Linked DNA regions of Rattus norvegicus. The protein of the gene in region 4 purifies or fractionates together with the protein of the main gene of each other region. This does not show direct contact. Links are inferred from orthologs where the notes say so. Each region holds a gene or a part of one and is shown on either strand. Other genes may lie near its edges. The genes, in order: Arf6, Racgap1, Ect2 and Kif23.

The links.
Region 1: the proteins of Kif23 (region 4) and Arf6 purify together in Homo sapiens (affinity purification with western blotting; 3 studies listed by BioGRID and IntAct, with this or other methods). This does not show direct contact. The link is inferred for Rattus norvegicus from reciprocal best matches to the Homo sapiens genes KIF23 and ARF6.
Region 2: the proteins of Kif23 (region 4) and Racgap1 purify together in Homo sapiens (co-immunoprecipitation; 10 studies listed by BioGRID and IntAct, counting the BioPlex papers as one, with this or other methods). This does not show direct contact. The link is inferred for Rattus norvegicus from reciprocal best matches to the Homo sapiens genes KIF23 and RACGAP1.
Region 3: the proteins of Kif23 (region 4) and Ect2 purify together in Homo sapiens (co-immunoprecipitation; 3 studies listed by BioGRID and IntAct, with this or other methods). This does not show direct contact. The link is inferred for Rattus norvegicus from reciprocal best matches to the Homo sapiens genes KIF23 and ECT2.

The regions. Positions count from the first base shown.
Region 1 is NC_086024.1:93,588,549-93,591,464, reverse strand, and holds Arf6 (ADP-ribosylation factor 6), read right to left. Parts: upstream 1,689-2,916; 5' UTR 1,537-1,688; coding exon 1,009-1,536; 3' UTR 540-1,008; downstream 1-539. UniProt on the Homo sapiens protein: GTP-binding protein involved in protein trafficking that regulates endocytic recycling and cytoskeleton remodeling. GTP-bound form plays an important role in the transport of multiple palmitoylated proteins form the Golgi to the plasma membrane.
Region 2 is NC_086025.1:132,656,934-132,661,228, forward strand, and holds the start of Racgap1 (rac GTPase-activating protein 1), read right to left. Parts: upstream 2,806-4,295; 5' UTR 2,629-2,805; intron 1-2,628.
Region 3 is NC_086020.1:111,963,808-111,967,975, forward strand, and holds the start of Ect2 (protein ECT2), read right to left. Parts: upstream 2,820-4,168; 5' UTR 2,694-2,819; exon of another isoform or gene 2,602-2,693; intron 2,561-2,601; exon of another isoform or gene 2,140-2,560; intron 1-2,139. UniProt on the Homo sapiens protein: Guanine nucleotide exchange factor (GEF) that catalyzes the exchange of GDP for GTP. Promotes guanine nucleotide exchange on the Rho family members of small GTPases, like RHOA, RHOC, RAC1 and CDC42.
Region 4 is NC_086026.1:71,317,636-71,321,991, forward strand, and holds the start of Kif23 (kinesin-like protein KIF23), read right to left. Parts: upstream 2,854-4,356; coding exon 2,843-2,853; intron 1,614-2,842; coding exon 1,544-1,613; exon of another isoform or gene 1,539-1,543; intron 456-1,538; coding exon 327-455; intron 1-326.

The DNA.
Region 1 (2,916 bases), on a different chromosome or scaffold from region 4:
GCTAGGTTAAAGGTGCATGTAATTTGGCTTTTTAAATATTTTATTAGTGAGCCAAGTAAATGTTTAGTAATTTTAAAACTACTGGTCTTAAGACAGTTCCAGTTTTGCCCAAAAGTCACTTTAAAGTATCTACAAATACTTCATCTGTGTGGCATACACCATTATTGCTCCACTTTCTGGAAAGAGCATTTTTATCCATAAGAGGGAATCAGCAAAGTTGCTAACTTTGCAGGGAGAAGGACCTGTACCCTTTACAGGCTCTGCTTGTTTTAGTCGGTAAAGTTAGCTATGGCAAAGGGGACTTGAGCCTTACTCCTACTCATGCACGTTAATGGCTGACTTCAAGGGATTCCTTACATTACCTATCTGACACACTGGTGTGCAACTGAACATTACACTGGTATTACTCATTTTGCCACTATGGGCTAAGTTCACCATACTGGTCTTGGCTATAAAAGGTCACATTTGAAACTGCTAAAGTTAGAGCTAACAAGGAAGGGAGGGAAGGCCTTAAATATAAAAGACAAACGGCAGTTTGATTAAGCAATAATTTTCAGTTTACTAGATGAAACAGACTTGGAACATAGTCTGCATGAATGCAAAATAAGCCATCTACAGCAAGTGATAAGAAACTGGGCAAAAAGGAAAAAGGCATACATGGGGGGAGATTCTCTCGAAATAAAAAAAAAAAATCAAAACCATTATTATAAAGGACTTTACCAAGAGTTGCTATTACCCCACCCCGTTTGCTGGAAGTCACAAGAGCATATAGCACTGTATTCGTGTCAAATGTCAGATCAGAGCATCCTAACGCAAAGCCGAAAGGAAATAGAAGAGGGGGGGTAAGGGGAACAAAGAAAACCCCCAACCCCACTAAACGGTAGAACAGTAACTCGAGTTCAGTTTCAAAAAAGAGAGTGGCAATTGAAAGAGGTGATGATGGTGGCGATAATCCTATGAATGGGTTTTTGATTTCTCTCCTTCCGGGGGCTGGGTGGAGGGCGCTCATTAGGATTTGTAGTTAGAGGTTAACCATGTGAGCCCCTCATAGAGTCCGTCCCCGGAGGTGGCACAGGAGGGCTGCACATACCAGTTCCTGTCCCGAATCCGGGTCAGGCCCAGTTTCTCCTGGATCTCATGGGGTTTCATGGCATCAGGCAGGTCCTGCTTGTTGGCGAAGATGAGGATTATGGCGTCCCTCATCTCCCGGTCATTGATAATGCGGTGCAGCTCCTGGCGGGCCTCATCGATGCGGTCGCGGTCGGCGCAGTCTACCACGAAGATCAGACCCTGGGTCCCGGTGTAGTAATGCCGCCAGAGCGGCCGGATCTTGTCCTGGCCGCCCACATCCCACACGTTGAACTTGACGTTTTTGTAAGTCACCGTCTCCACGTTGAAACCCACCGTGGGAATGGTGGTCACAGACTGGCCCAGCTTCAACTTGTACAGGATCGTTGTCTTGCCGGCTGCGTCCAGGCCCAGCATGAGGATCCGCATTTCCTTGTTCCCGAAGATCTTGGATAGCACCTTCCCCATCGCGTCGGAAGAGCCGGGGCCGGGGGCATTCAGGTGTCCCGGGTCCCCTCAGCCTACAACGCCGCCGCCGCTGCGAGCCCGAAAAGTAGCCGCCCCGCCGCGAGGACGCCCTGCGGCCCGGCTTGCGCGAAGCTGCCTGCTAGGGGCAGGGGCCCGGCCTGCGCTCACTCGGGCATCGCCCGCCGCCGGGGCCCTGCGTCTGCGCCGGGAGAGCCGCCGCCCTGCTGAGGCGAGGCGCGGCCGGCCCGGAACTGCCCTTCCCCCCGCAGGCGCCGCGCGAGCGCCGCCGACAGCTCCTCCGCCGCCTCAGCACGCGGCAGGTCAAACTGCGGCCCTCCCGCCGGCCTGCGAGCACCGGGCTCCGCACCAACCCTGGTCACCCGACGAAGAGCGCGGCTCTGCGCCCCGTCAGGTCATGGATCCTCGCGGGAACTCGGTGCTACCTGCAGAGACACAGAGAGGGAGAAGGGAGTTACCGCCGGGACTCCGACGGTGCTGAGACCGACCCGGCCCGCCTTTCGGGCTCGGCCCTTGAGATTACCTCCAGCCGCCGCCCCAAGCGCGGGTTCCCTCCGGCCTCCACCTCCTCCTCCCCAGTTCTGCTGCCGCCGCTGCCGGAAAAGGCGCCGAGGAAACCGCCTCACTTCCCCTCCCGACTGCGCACGCGCACCTCAGCCCGACCGTTCGGAAGAGCGCGACCTCTGAAAGGAGAGTGGCCCGCGCGCCTAGCGTCACGAGCGCCACGCGCCGGGGGTGGGGCTACGGCGGCTCGGGGGGCTCACGCGGACGCCTTGCGGAACCTGCTGGAGCGGGGCTGGCCGTACGCCCACCTGTCGCTCTCCCAGGGTCTCCGCTGTTTTCCCTTCTCCGCCACTGGAAGGCGGGGCAAAAATCCACTGGGTGTTCAACGCCCCCACCCAGGCTTCCCAGGTTTGCTCCCGGACACCCTGCGCAAAGTTCCTCCCGCTCGCCCCAGCCTTCCGCACCCGGGTCTCCTTTTTACTCCGACGCCTCCCGACTTCCTTCTGTTTCCTGAAAGACACGTGGGAGGCCAGTGTTCCATAGAATCCGCCAAAGTCGCCCGCACTTTTACTCGTGTTGGGTTTGCCCCTAAGCCCTGCCTGTGAAAGTTTAAACTTGTCCTCTTTGTAAGTCTGAACCACCCGCACTTCTTAGGAAATAGACTTTCAGGACCGACGAGATGGCTGTGTGCGTGAAGCCTGCCGCCGAGAGGGCGGACCCGTGTTCAGTCCCCAGAACCCGTATGGTGGAAGGAGAGAACCAACTCCCTCAAATTGACTTCAGATCTCCACGCACCATAAGGAAACTATTTGAGTTTTGTTTTTATTTTCAAATACTTTTTTCATTTAGTGTGCGTGT
Region 2 (4,295 bases), on a different chromosome or scaffold from region 4:
AATAAGAGTCAAGGCCAGAGTGAAGGAGAACTGGATGTGACAGGTAAGTTCGGCACACTGCTGCTGTCTCCTGTGAGGCCTACCCAGAGTCTGCCTTAGCAGTCACTGAAGCCTTTTCCTAATGACTTCAACTTAGGCAGACATAAAACACTGCCTCAAAACACAAACCTCATCCCCCTCATCCAGCCCTGTGCCCACCACACTCTCGCTCGGGGCACACAGTTTTTGATTGTTAGCATCTTGTTTGCACTGAGCAAGCATCACAGAGTCGATGGGCTACCATTGGTCTACTCGTTCTCTTTGGATTCAGTTTTTCAGTTACCCTCTGCCAGAAGTCTCTAGCATGGGCAGTCACCCATCCCATTCCGTCCCCTTCTCCCTGACCCCTGGGAATTTACTTCTCAATGAAGTCTCCACCAGCCACACTTTTAAATTCAGCCTTTTCTGTAACTCCTGGTTTATTCTGCTCCAGAGTGCTTGTCTCCACCTAACATGTTTACTTACTGTCTGGAAAGCAAGGACTTAGCAGAGCCACTGGTATCTAGAACACTGCCCACTACCAATGCTTGGTAGGTGACCTGACACTCACTGAGTGAGCCTCCTCATGGCCAGTTTTCTTCCTCAGGTTCAAAGGTGAGTCCTTGCAACGACAGGTTTTTGATTAATGTAGCACGGTATAAAAACCTTATATTGGCGGGGAGGGGGGCCGAAGAGATGACTCAGTGGTTAAGGGCACTGGCTGCTGTTTCAGAGGACTTGAGTTCAATTCCCAGCACTGGCATGGCAGCTCACAACTGTCTGTAGCTCCATCCCCAGGGGATCTGACACCCTCACACAGAAGCCAGCCAAAATAATATAGCAAGGCTATTATATTGAGTAGAAATTTTTGTCAACTGAAAAAAGCCAGGGGAAAAAAGCCAATGTTAAGAATTCTATAAGGCAGGTTGGGGATTTAGCTCAGTGGTAGAGAGCTTGCCTAGCACTGGGTCCTCAGCTGGGTGGGTGGGAGGGATTTATTGTGTATTTGTGGAGAGTTAGATCTGCAGCCAAACTATCTCAGTCATCTCTTTACCCCACTAATGCACCAGCCACCTCCTTGCTGCTATCAGATGAAATTTTGGCCTGAATTAATTACCTTTTACCAAGGGGAATGGTGGCAGACATCTTTAATCCCAAAGCTTGGGAGACATAGAGACAGGCAGATCTCTGAGTTCCAGGGGGGAAAAAAAAAAAGACAAACCAAAAAATAACTACCTTTCATCAACCCAGAAGCTAAGCTGGTCAGCAGACAGCACTGAGGTCTAACAGCACAAGAGTCCCCATCTTTACTGCACCCCAGCAGCCTGATGTGCAGTCAACAGTTTCTTAAGGGTTAGTAGAAGAATCTTACTTGAACTTAAATGTACCATTGTGCTGGCCTATACCTTAGCTGACACCATGCCTGCCTAGAGTGACAAGCCCCTGGTTTCTGTCCTCAACACAGCAAATACTGAGAATGGTGGATCACACGTGTCATCTCCAAATTGTCCTGTAATCCCAACACTCCAGGGACAGGCGGATCAGAGGTTCGGGGTTATCCTTGGATACAAGAGGCCAACCTGGGCTACATAAGACACCGTGTGTGTGTGTGTGTGTGTGTGTGTGTGTGTGTGTGTGTGTGTGTGTGTGTCTCAGACCAACCTGGGCTACATAAGACACCGTGTGTGTGTGTGTGTGTGTGTGTGTGTGTGTGTGTGTCTGTCTGTCTGTCTCTCTCTCTCTCTCTCTCTCTCACACACACACACACACACACACACACACACACAGAGTGTGATAGAACAGTAACTCCAATAACCCTCCAATACACTATTGGGAGTACTGCAGTCCGTCTCTCCCTCTCTCTCCCTCCCTCTCTTTCTGAGGCACAAAAACAAAGTTCTCATCCCAAGAGAAATGAGTGTTCCTTCCTGAGCCAAATATAAGTGACCCTGGCTCGTGACCATGAATCCAGGTTACCTAAATAAATACCATGTTCTGATATAATCATTCTCATTAAGTTTTATAGTTAAGAACAGTCATAAATCAAGGAACGCTTAAAAAAACTTTGGTGGGCGCTTCAAGAAGGTTTCCGAGGCTTGCCAGATTACAGTCGTAGCTTTTCTGTGGGTGGAGGCTGTTAATATAAAGTAATACACCCCCAAAGGGTTTCCCATGCTAATCGCAGAACGGTAGCTAGGTCAGTGGCAGAAATAGGTGATAAATTATTATTAAAAGGAGGGCTGAAAAAGATAGGCTCCGCATTTGCAGCATTCTAGCTCTCCACATATAGGGATGTTCTAATTAGCCTTGTGGGAGACAGCCAAGAAGGTAGAGGCTCTCCACTGTAGGCCGCCAGGTTCCTCAAACACCTGACTTCTCCCGCAGAAGAGACTGCTCCTCGGAAAAGGGTGAGAGGGGCTCGCTCCCGGCCACTCCCACGTCCCGCACTAGAGTTCGCCAAGACCACCTTGAGGGAACCACACCCGCACCCGTCGGGCCACGCCTCAAAAGGACGCTCCCGACTTAACGCGCAGCCCCACGCCGAGAGCAGACCCCTCCAGATGCCCCCCTCCTCCCTCCGCCGCCCGCTCGCGGCCTCGACCCGCTTACCGAGGCTCCCGGCCCCGCGCACACGCAACCCTGTTCGGCCCGCGGCGCTTACTCTCCGGCCGCCGCGCCCCAGGAGGGCTGCTGTCCACCAGCTGCGCGCCTCACTAACGGCAGTGTAAAACCGCGCCGCCGGATCCGGTTCAAAATCGCGCAGCAGCCAATCACAGAGGAGATCATGCTCTGGGCGACGCACGTGTTAGGGCCAGGGGGCGGGCGCAAAACGGGAAGAGCGTGCGCATTACATTAGCGAGACGCCGAAAGACGGCCATTTTGACTGTGGGCACACTTTTGCGGGAGTAGTGGGTGTTTCATGGCCTGTGTAGGACTCCCGCTCCAGGCTCCGGCTACGGCTCCCTTTCTTGCAATTATTCTAATGACCTGTTGACTAATTGCATATTATTCTTGCCTCCATGTTTCCCCAGGCAGACAAATAGGACTCTTGGAAACTAATAACCGAATAGTTTCGGGTCTCACTGTAGAATAGGAAGAATTCCAGAAGGAGACAGAGCAACAATCATTTTAACCATATTTACTGAGCTATAATTATCCCCCCCATTCACTCACGCATCCATTCAGACTTCTATTTGATGCACAGTAAGTATGCCAACTTCATAGCAAGCACTCTGCTAGAGATCAGAAAAAAATACAGATCATGTGGTCTCTGCTTTCCAGTAGCTATGAATGGGTGAGACAGCTCAAGAAAACAAATAGAAGTGCAGAATGAAGTGTTATAATTCCATTTAATAAATGGCACTTAAAATTTGGCATTGTATTGGTACAGAGGCTTTGAAACTTTTAAAGATCTGGGCCCAACATCAGAAATGCACTCAATATACAACCATTCATCTTAATCTATTAGTGTACTCCCGATGTTTCTGTTCTTTTGTTGTTGTTGTTATTTCTCTGTGTTGGAGTCCCTTCCTTCCTGAATTTACTAATTACTGGAAGGTGTGGCTACCTGCAATTTGACAAAATACTGGCTGGCTAGAGCTTACTAGAAAGGGTGAGCCAGGCATATGCCTTTAAGCCCAGCACAGCAGAGGCAGGCAGATGTCTGTAAACTCAAGGCCAGCCTAGTCTGCCTCAGTTCTCAAACCACCAGGGGAGCTGTGCCCTTGAGCTCTTTACAACAGTTGGTATTTTAAAAGGCAGTTCTGTGTGGGTGTGGTGGCACACACCCATAATCGCCAGCACTTAAGGAGTGGAGGCTGAGAGATCAAGACCAGCCTCTGCTACTTTAGCTCCAGACCAAACAAACAAACAAACAAACAAAAAAGCAGCTCTAACCGTGGCTTTTCCTTGCTGAAAACCATTAATCACTTCACCTCCCCTCCTTAAAAAAAAGATGGGGTCCTTAATGGCTCCCCTAACCTGTGCTTCCCTGCTCCCTAACTGCCCTCCATCTTGTTTACAGGTCCTGAAGTGCACCAAGTGACACCTAGCATCCAGAGCTTTACTCTTGCAGTCCCATCTGCCCCAGACACTCTTCCAGCCCCTTCCCTCACCTCCATCTGACTAAGTTTTATCTGTCCTTTGGGCAGCTTGAATTTTTTTTTTAACTGCTTTCTTCAAAGGAGTCTATGCTGCCTGTCTCTGTGGTTTTGCTATAAACACTAGCTCCCCTTCCACCCCACTCCCCACCCCGTGGGAGTTACCTTATCTTTTTC
Region 3 (4,168 bases), on a different chromosome or scaffold from region 4:
ATTTTTAAAAAGAAAAAGAAAAAAAGGAAAAAGCCAGGGCTGGAGAGATGGCTCAGTGGTTAAGAGCACTGACTGTCCTTCCAGAGGTCCTGAGTTCAAATCCCAGCACCCACATGATGGCTCACAACCATCTGTAATGAGATCTGATGCCCTCTTCTGGTGGGTTTGAAGACAGCTACAATGTATTATAAATAAACACATCTTTAAAAAAAAATTTTTTTTTAAAAAAAGGAAAAAGCTAAACATGGTAGTAAACATCATCTAAGAAGGCCTTAAGGCAAGAGGATTACTGTGAATTAGAGGCCAGTCTGTGTTACAGAATAAGAGAGTGAGTCCAGTACGGTACACACCTTTTACCCCAAAACTCAGAATAAGACCCTGGTTCAAAAAGGGGGATAGGGGAATCATGGGCTATCTGACTGCTGCTGCCTTTGAGAACCTTTCCTCTAGTTGTCTAGTCTTGCTACAACTTGATTTGGTCAGTTGATATCCATGGGAGGCCTCCGCTTTTCAGAAGAGAAAGGGAGGAGTGGATAGGGTGGGAGAAGGCCTGGGAGAAGAGGAAGGAGGGATATTGTGGTTGAGATGTAAATTAATTTTAAAAGTTAATTAAGGGCTGGAGAGACGCTCAGCAGTTAAGAGCACTGACTGCACTTCCAGAGGTCCTCAGTACAATTCCCAACAACCACATGGTGGCTCACAACCATCTGTAATGGAATCCAATGACCTCTTCTGGTGTGTCTGAAAACAGCTACAGTGTACTTATATATAATAAGTAAATAAATCTTTTTTAAAAAGTTAAGTAATTAATTTTACAAGAGGCTGGTGAGGAGAAGGAAAAAGGGAGAAAGGGTGAGCTGCTCAGCTTTAAGGACTGGAGGGGAATTTGATTTGATTGACCCATGTTCCTTTGAGACAGGATCTCGAAATCCTTGCTGGCCTGATTTCATTCTGCACTCCAAGCTGCTAGGAAACTCATGGTCAATCCTCCTGTGCCAACACTCCTGAGAATTGGGATTAAATGTTCACAAAGCCAAGATAGGATCAGAGATTTTAACAAATCAAAAGGACCACAGGAGCTGGAGGAGTCACATGAAACTTCGTCTCAAAAAAGCCAAAAATAATTAATGAAATGGTCAGTAGAACACTGCTTAATCTAGACTAAAACGTCACCTAAGAAACTCCAATTCCTAACTTAAAGGTTAGTAGAAAGGACTTTGAACATCTCCAGTAAAAGGATAAATGCTTACAGTGATATGGGCATGACCTTGACCTAAGCATTACAGGGGTATAAATGTACTAAAATAGACTAGGGCTGGAGGTGGAGTTTAGTGGTAAAGCCTGGAAAGATTCAGAGTTCAATCTCCCAGACCGCCCCCCACCAAAAAAAAGTCAAAATAAGAGTCTATACTTATGTGTAAACTACGTGCCAGAGCTTTACAATGCACTTTCAACAATACTTCAGCTTACATGACCCTCTTTAAAATTGCCAGTTGACTGATAATGTGTTGCCTAGTGGCACAAGCCTAAAGTTCCAGCACCCACACAACAGGCAGGAGTACACAACTAAACCCTTTCTCACTATGCACCAAAACAGTGAAAATGCATATTATTATCTATTTTCAAAATATACAGCAAAAGAGCTACAGGGCACACTAATGATACATCTAGCACCCAACATCACTGCAAACTGAAATGCACCAGTTTCTTCCTTTTCACACATTCTAGAGGCTTTTTAAAAATAAACACAACAATCTGATCATAAAAAGAACACATCTTTGTCTTGGAATGTGCCTCAGCGTAGCATGCATGAGGTCATCCTCGGGCACCTCAAAACCAAGCAAGGTGAAAGTACATCGGGGAGGAGGTAGAGGCAGGTGGAGTTTTATGTCACCATTGGCTCCACAATTCAAGCCTATTCTGGAATACCTAAGACCCTGTCTCACAACACATGGATTCTTTTAAATAAAGTCATTTTTAGCTTTTCTTTTAAATAAACTTTTTTTCCATAAAAAAGTCATCCAGAGTAAAGAGACAAAACTACAATAGTTTTGAATACGTTGATAATGGTGTTAATTAGCGATTTCATTTACTTAAAGCTCACTATTTTACAGCCACTATCTTAAATCTCCCCCTTACCATTATTTAACCTTTGCAGCCATCCTAAAAGACAAATATCATTGCCATATCCAGTTTGTGGCTAAGAAAGTTGTTCACACAGAGACTCCAAGCCGGGTCTAACTCTGAGGGCGCTAAGTTAACCACTAACCACACACATCTGTGGCCAGGAAGGGGCGGAGCGGCCTGTGTTTTATATTTTAAAAAAATCGAAAATCGGAATTCTGCAGGAATTCCAGAGGGAAACCACAAAACAATCAGGGCAGCTCTGGGCTGCAGCGAGCGGGCGGAAGGGCAAGCAGGAAGCCAAAATCGCTGTCCCAACTGCGCCCTTCACCCTGGGGCGCCTGACAGAAGCAGAATAGAACCCAGATTCCCGCAAGGAAAAACCGGGGCCAGAACAGACGACAGGAAAGGAGGCGGATGTGAGGGAAGAGGATGAAAGGGAGCGGTACAGACAGGTACGCAGCCGTGGGGGCTCACCGCGGCGGGGACGCCGGCCTTGGTCCCCACGGCCGGTGCAGTTCCGGGCACTCGAATCCCTTCCCGTCCCCCACTCACCCCGCAGTCCTCACCACGTTCAGATATTTTAAAAAAAAGAAAAATGAACCACTGCGGCGCAGTCCTCGCTTAACCTTCTCAAACACTGAGTCTCCTCACTGGGGCCGCCATGGCTCGAAGGAGGCTACCGCCTCCGATTCAAAAAACCCAGACGCTCTCTCTCAGAGCCATGCTGATTGGCGCGCTTTGTCAACCTCCTTTTGATAGGCTGGAGTCTCTGGCGGACTGCTTATTGGTCAATCTCAACGACCGCCTCCAGGAGGCGCCGGCTGATTGGCTATGCGTGTGTTTCAAATAAGCTAAACGGCTGGAGCGTGTGGACGTCAGCGAAATGCCCGGATGTGGGCGAGAGGGGGGCGTGGCCTCGGAGCGCCTCTAGACGTAGCAGGTGTTTCTGTGGTGACCGCTTGTTTACTCAGTAAACAGCCAGTTTCCCGAGGCTCAGTCTCTACCATCACCTCCAACTTCAAGAAAAGTAACAAGCACCGCAAACCATTCGGCTCTTACCACTTCCCAGATTTTATATTTGGAGACAAGCTTGCATCTAAGTAACTAAAAAAAAAAAAGTGTAAGGAGATTTTAGAATCCCCTGATGCAAAATTGCTTCTGGGTGGCTTGCTCCTTCTCCCCAGGCCCCACCTCCAATCCCCAGCATAAGAATGTTAGTGACCTTTGAAGTCTAGAAAAGAAATGATCAGGTTTTTTTTTTCGATATTTCTATTCTGAAAATTGTTTCTAGATGTAATGTTCTATAATACAATCTCTTAAACATACACTTCTAGCTGGGTGTGGTTTCAAATCCTGTGACCCCACTTACTAAGGAGGATGGCGCTGGAAGTGGAGAACAAGATCTGCCTGGTCTGCACAGGAGACCCTGTCTCAAAACAGTTATTTTTTTACTTTCAAAACCGAACCCTACCAAGTGGTTGGATCTGTTGCTACGCCCCAAACCTCAATAAGAGGTTTTAAAACCACCTTTTAAATTTAGATTTATTAATTATATGTGTCTGTATTATTTTCCCTGGATGTGTGTGTGTGTGTGCATCTTGTGAGTGCTTGGAGGTAAGGAGGAGGCCAGATCCATTCCCAGGGACTGAAATTAGAGGATTATGAACCACCATGTGGATGCTGGGAATTAAACCCAGGTCCTCTGTGAGAGTAAGAAGTGCTTTTAACCACTGAGCCAACCCACCAGCCCAAGATCTACTTTAAAAACAAAAAGAACTTCTTGACAACCTTAGGAGCTTGACAAGTGTATGGCGAGTTCATAGAATGAGTAAAACAGTCTACAGTCTTTGTCTGGTTGGTTGTTTTTGTTTTGTTTTGTTTTCTGCTTAACATTATCTATGGCCTGACAGTCTCTAGAATTAGCCATTAGAGCGGAAGAAAGAGGGAAAAAAATCAGCCTTGAAATTGCCAACGGGAGTGTGTTTGCAGTTTAAGCTTGGGTGTGTCTGGCATTCCAAACATTCTCCTCACTAAAGTACTT
Region 4 (4,356 bases):
AGGTTAAGAAGACAGAGGCAAACACATCTCCGTGAGCTCCAAGCCAGCCTAGTCTATATAGAGTTTCAGGACAGCCAGGGCTACACAGTAAGACCCTGTCTCAAATAGACAGACAGACAGACAGACAGACAGAGAGAAACAGACAGAAAAGAAAAGAAAAAAAAGCCCCTAAAAGCAACCTGCTAATTCCAACATACCAAGAGTCTATCTGTATGCCCTAGAAATGAAAGATGAGGTGACTAAAGTATTCCTTCCCACAAATGAGATCACACATGAACTTTTTAAATTCAAAAACAGAAAACAACTTGGTTCCACTAAGAACCTACCTCCTTGTAGTCTCCATTTCTGTTGAGTCGATAGCCCTCAGGGGTGTGGAGCTGCACGGTTGTACTATTGACCACTTCCACACAGCACTCTTGGTCAGGAAAGCTCAGTGGGCGCACCCTACAGTACACCTGGGAAGAGAGAGTGTTCAAACCAGGTTGACTCTTCGCCTGTTTTGTTGTTGTTGTTGTTGTTGTTGTTTTGTTTTGTTTTTCTTTTCTGTTTGTTTTGCCTATTGAGACACAGGTTCTCAGTCTATAGCCCAAGCTGGGCTGGAGCTCTCAGCAGTCTGCCTGCTGGTCTCCAGGATGTCGGGGCTGCAGGCATGCTCCTCTGTGAATGTTTAGCACTCACTCACTTTCCATTTATGTTCTGTTCAGTCACCTACAAATATCTGATCTTCAGCACAAACAAATCCCAGAGTCACCAAAACCAAGATCTAGAGTTCAGAATGGTCAAATGCAAAGATTCATTAAATCAAATTAAACTTAGGTTAAAATATTAAACTGCTCATCTTTTCACTGGTGTGCACAAATAAAATTGTAATAACGTAAAAAATCTCTGAAAATAGCTGAAAAGGCCATTAAATTCTTTACAGCTGGATGCCATGTCAAATAGCCAGCTCAGGTGTGCATGGGAGCACACATCTGTAATCAAGCACCTGGAGGGTAGAGGAGCTCATGTGAGGAAAACCTGTCCAGCTGTGCTCACAGCAGATGGTGCAACTGGGAACCAGAGCCACTCTGCCCCAGCAGTGGGGTGGTGGTATCCAGAACTTCCCCTTTTCCAGGAAGAGGGATTACCTAAATTGAGTTATTCTACACTAGTCTCTCTGAACCTTGAGTATGGGGTTCTCCTTGAGAATGTGTCAGTTACCACATACAGGTGGGAGAGGGTTTAAGACCTGAGAAGAAAGTCCCCATCCCCACCCTATCCCAAAGAGTAGAACCTGGTGGGAGAGATCATTAACTTTTCAAATCTAATTAGTGATAGCAGATTTGCAGTCAACAACTAAAGAGTTCCTTTTTCCAGGCCAGTTAATCCTGTAGAGAAAGCAAACTTTCTAGCTAAAATCAGCTTTATACAACTTAGTGCTCGATTTAACTGTGCTCCTTAACCCAACTTTCATATCATTTTCCTCCCCTTTCAAGCACACACAAGGTAGGATGAACTAAAGAAAGAACAAACACACAAACACACGAACACACACACACCTTACCCCCACTGGATCTTTAAGGTTTGTCTGAGATCCTTTTTTTATTACAGGTTTCCTGGGCATCTTAGCCTTCCTGGTTAAAAAGAAAAAGAAAAAAAAAAAAAAGAAAAAAAAACCCCATAAATTTCAATTCACTACTAACATAGAAGACATCATGAATTCTAACAATGATGAACTTCTTAGGCTTTAAAAAAACATTTCCCAGCAGTACCAAAATACTGCACATCAAATAACATGAATATAAACAATAATAAGCTGTATTAGAGAAATGTGGCATATGTAATCTAACTCATTAAAATTGTGATTGGGAAAATATACTTTCGATACCAGAAGTATCCAGGGGAACTTTTTTTTGATTTCATTTTTTTTTTTTAATGTTGGAGAGCAAATTCAGAGATTTGCTCCTGCTGGGCAGGAAGAGTAGATTATTCACAATGCTGAAATCCCTTGCTATTTTAAGTAGACAATATAAAAAAGCATTTTGATTTACTTCAACATTCTCTATCATTTAACTTTTTTCTTTCTCATTTATAGGCTACAAGAATATGTAACACAAATTAAACCAAAAGATTCGTTCAGACTGTAGATTATTTAAGTATTTTTCTCAATAGAGTCACACGTAAAACAGAAGTAGACCAGAGTTGGGCGATATACTGGGGTAGATATCCTTAAATAAATATAAAGACTTTGACGATTCCTCATTTAAAAAGTTCCGGTTTTTTTGTGTGTGTGCGTGTGAAAGTAACGATTTCTAAAGCCAGCCCTCCTTTGCAGTAAAAGTGTAACCAGGATATGGCTCTCTGAAGTGTCTAGGAATTACAGAGGAATGTGGGCGTGGGCGAGATAGAGCAGACGAGTGGGATGGCCTGGGGACAAAGATAGCCCAAGGTAACTGAGCTGCAGAAGGACCCTGACCTCCAGGAACTAGGGAAGGGATGCCGACGGAGATATGGAGACTCAACCCCTCCAACGCGCACCCAGGCTGCGCGCTCCCCGGGGTCCCTAGACTTGCCACCTGCACAGCGGGCCGGGAGGAAGGAAGCTGGGGAAGGATGGTCAGCCCAAAGGATGGCAAGCCGAGGAGGTGGTGGCAGACAGCCCCGAATTCGGAGTCAGCCTTCGCGGGCTGAGAGGACTGTGCGGGCGCGGGCACACCGGGATCAGCAGCCACCAGAGCTCTGCGCAGAGTACGGAGCTCCGGCCTACACGTACCGACTCAGCTCCCAGGCAGCCCCCAGTCTCCGCGTGAGGAGGGCGGCAACCCCCGCCCAGTCCTCCCAATAGTCCCCTCCTGGTACTCACGCCGACTTCATGACCGCAGTCTCCGTGCTGTCCTGACGCGCGCGCGGGACGTCGGGCTCCGACCGGAGCAGGGCTGGCGGGAACTAAGCCGTGGAGGCTGCGGCCGCGGGGACCCGGACTCAATCTGAAGAGAGCCCGGCGGCGACGCTGCAAGCCCAAGTGTGCGCCCGCCCGGCGCATTTCAAACAGGCCAATCAGCGACCGCCTGCGGCGAAGAGGCGGGGCCTCGGGGAGCCTTGGCACCGCCAGCAGGGGCGCTCGTCTCCTTGGCAACCCAGGAAACTAGCAGGAGGCTGAGGAGGGTAGTGCTCGAGAGAAACCAAGAGGGGAAATCCCGGCCCTTCCGTTCTGACGCAGAAACTGAGGTCTCCCTGCCTTTGTCCAGAGAATCTCTAAGGAAGTCGTGATCGGGAATGTTCTACTATCAGGCTGGCCGGTTGACTTTCAGGCCACCACCTCGTCTTATTCATTTTACTGTATTTTATATTTTATTTTTACATTTAATTCTACGTTTACATTTTATTCTACATTTACATTTTACCTTACTTTTGATGTTTATTTTGAGACGAGGGTCTCTTGTAGTCCAGGCTGGCCTCAAACTTACAGTGTAGTTCCCCAGGATGTTCTTGAAGACTATACCAACTTGGCAGTCAACCTTTTGTAAGTTCCCTTCTCTGGGTTCTCTCTCTCTCTCTCTCTCTCTCTCTCTCTCTCTCTCTCTCTCTCTCTCTCTCTCTCTCCTGGTGCTGGGGATCAAACCTAAAGCCTCACAATGCTAGGTAAAAGTCACTAAGCTACACATCCTTAACCTTCAAATTCTTGATTTTGATGTTTCCTGGATATACAGAGGTGACTAAAATCTACCCACTGTCCTTGTACAACCACCAAAATCTACCTCTTGTCTTCCGCAAATTGATTCTGTCTTTCTTAATCCCTGACCCATGCTGAAGATCTCGAGGACGTATCCACCACACCTGCGTTCTGTGACTCAGGCTCCACTTAGAACTTCCTTTAGGGCCAGCACTAATAAGGATAGTTTAATATCCACAGTTTAATGTCCTTATTACTGGACAATAGTCTTTCCAATATTTACTGTCACAAAGTGCTACAATGAATAAACCTGAAAATGCATCCTTTTACATTTCCAGAAGCAGATAAAAAGCTAACAGTCTTTGCCACCACCACCTTTCAAAACTGCTCCATTTGACAGCACTCTCACCTATAAATCACCGGTCTTGAGACCCTCAGTGAGACCCTGAGGCTAGTCTTCCTTCTCCATTGTGTCACCTATCACCTGTCCAAAACCCAAAGCACGCGCTTGAAACGTATCTGCCCCCACACTGAGGTCTCTCTTCTGTCTCTCAGTCTTCCTTCCCTCTGTGAAAGCCTCACCTTCACTGGGTCCTGGAGCCCCTGCCTCGCTGGGCTGTTGATTTCAGCAGTCGGCACAGCCTGTTTACTGAGTCCTCTCCCAGCGTATTCCCCCTCAGCCTCGCTAGATGGCACTGTTGCGT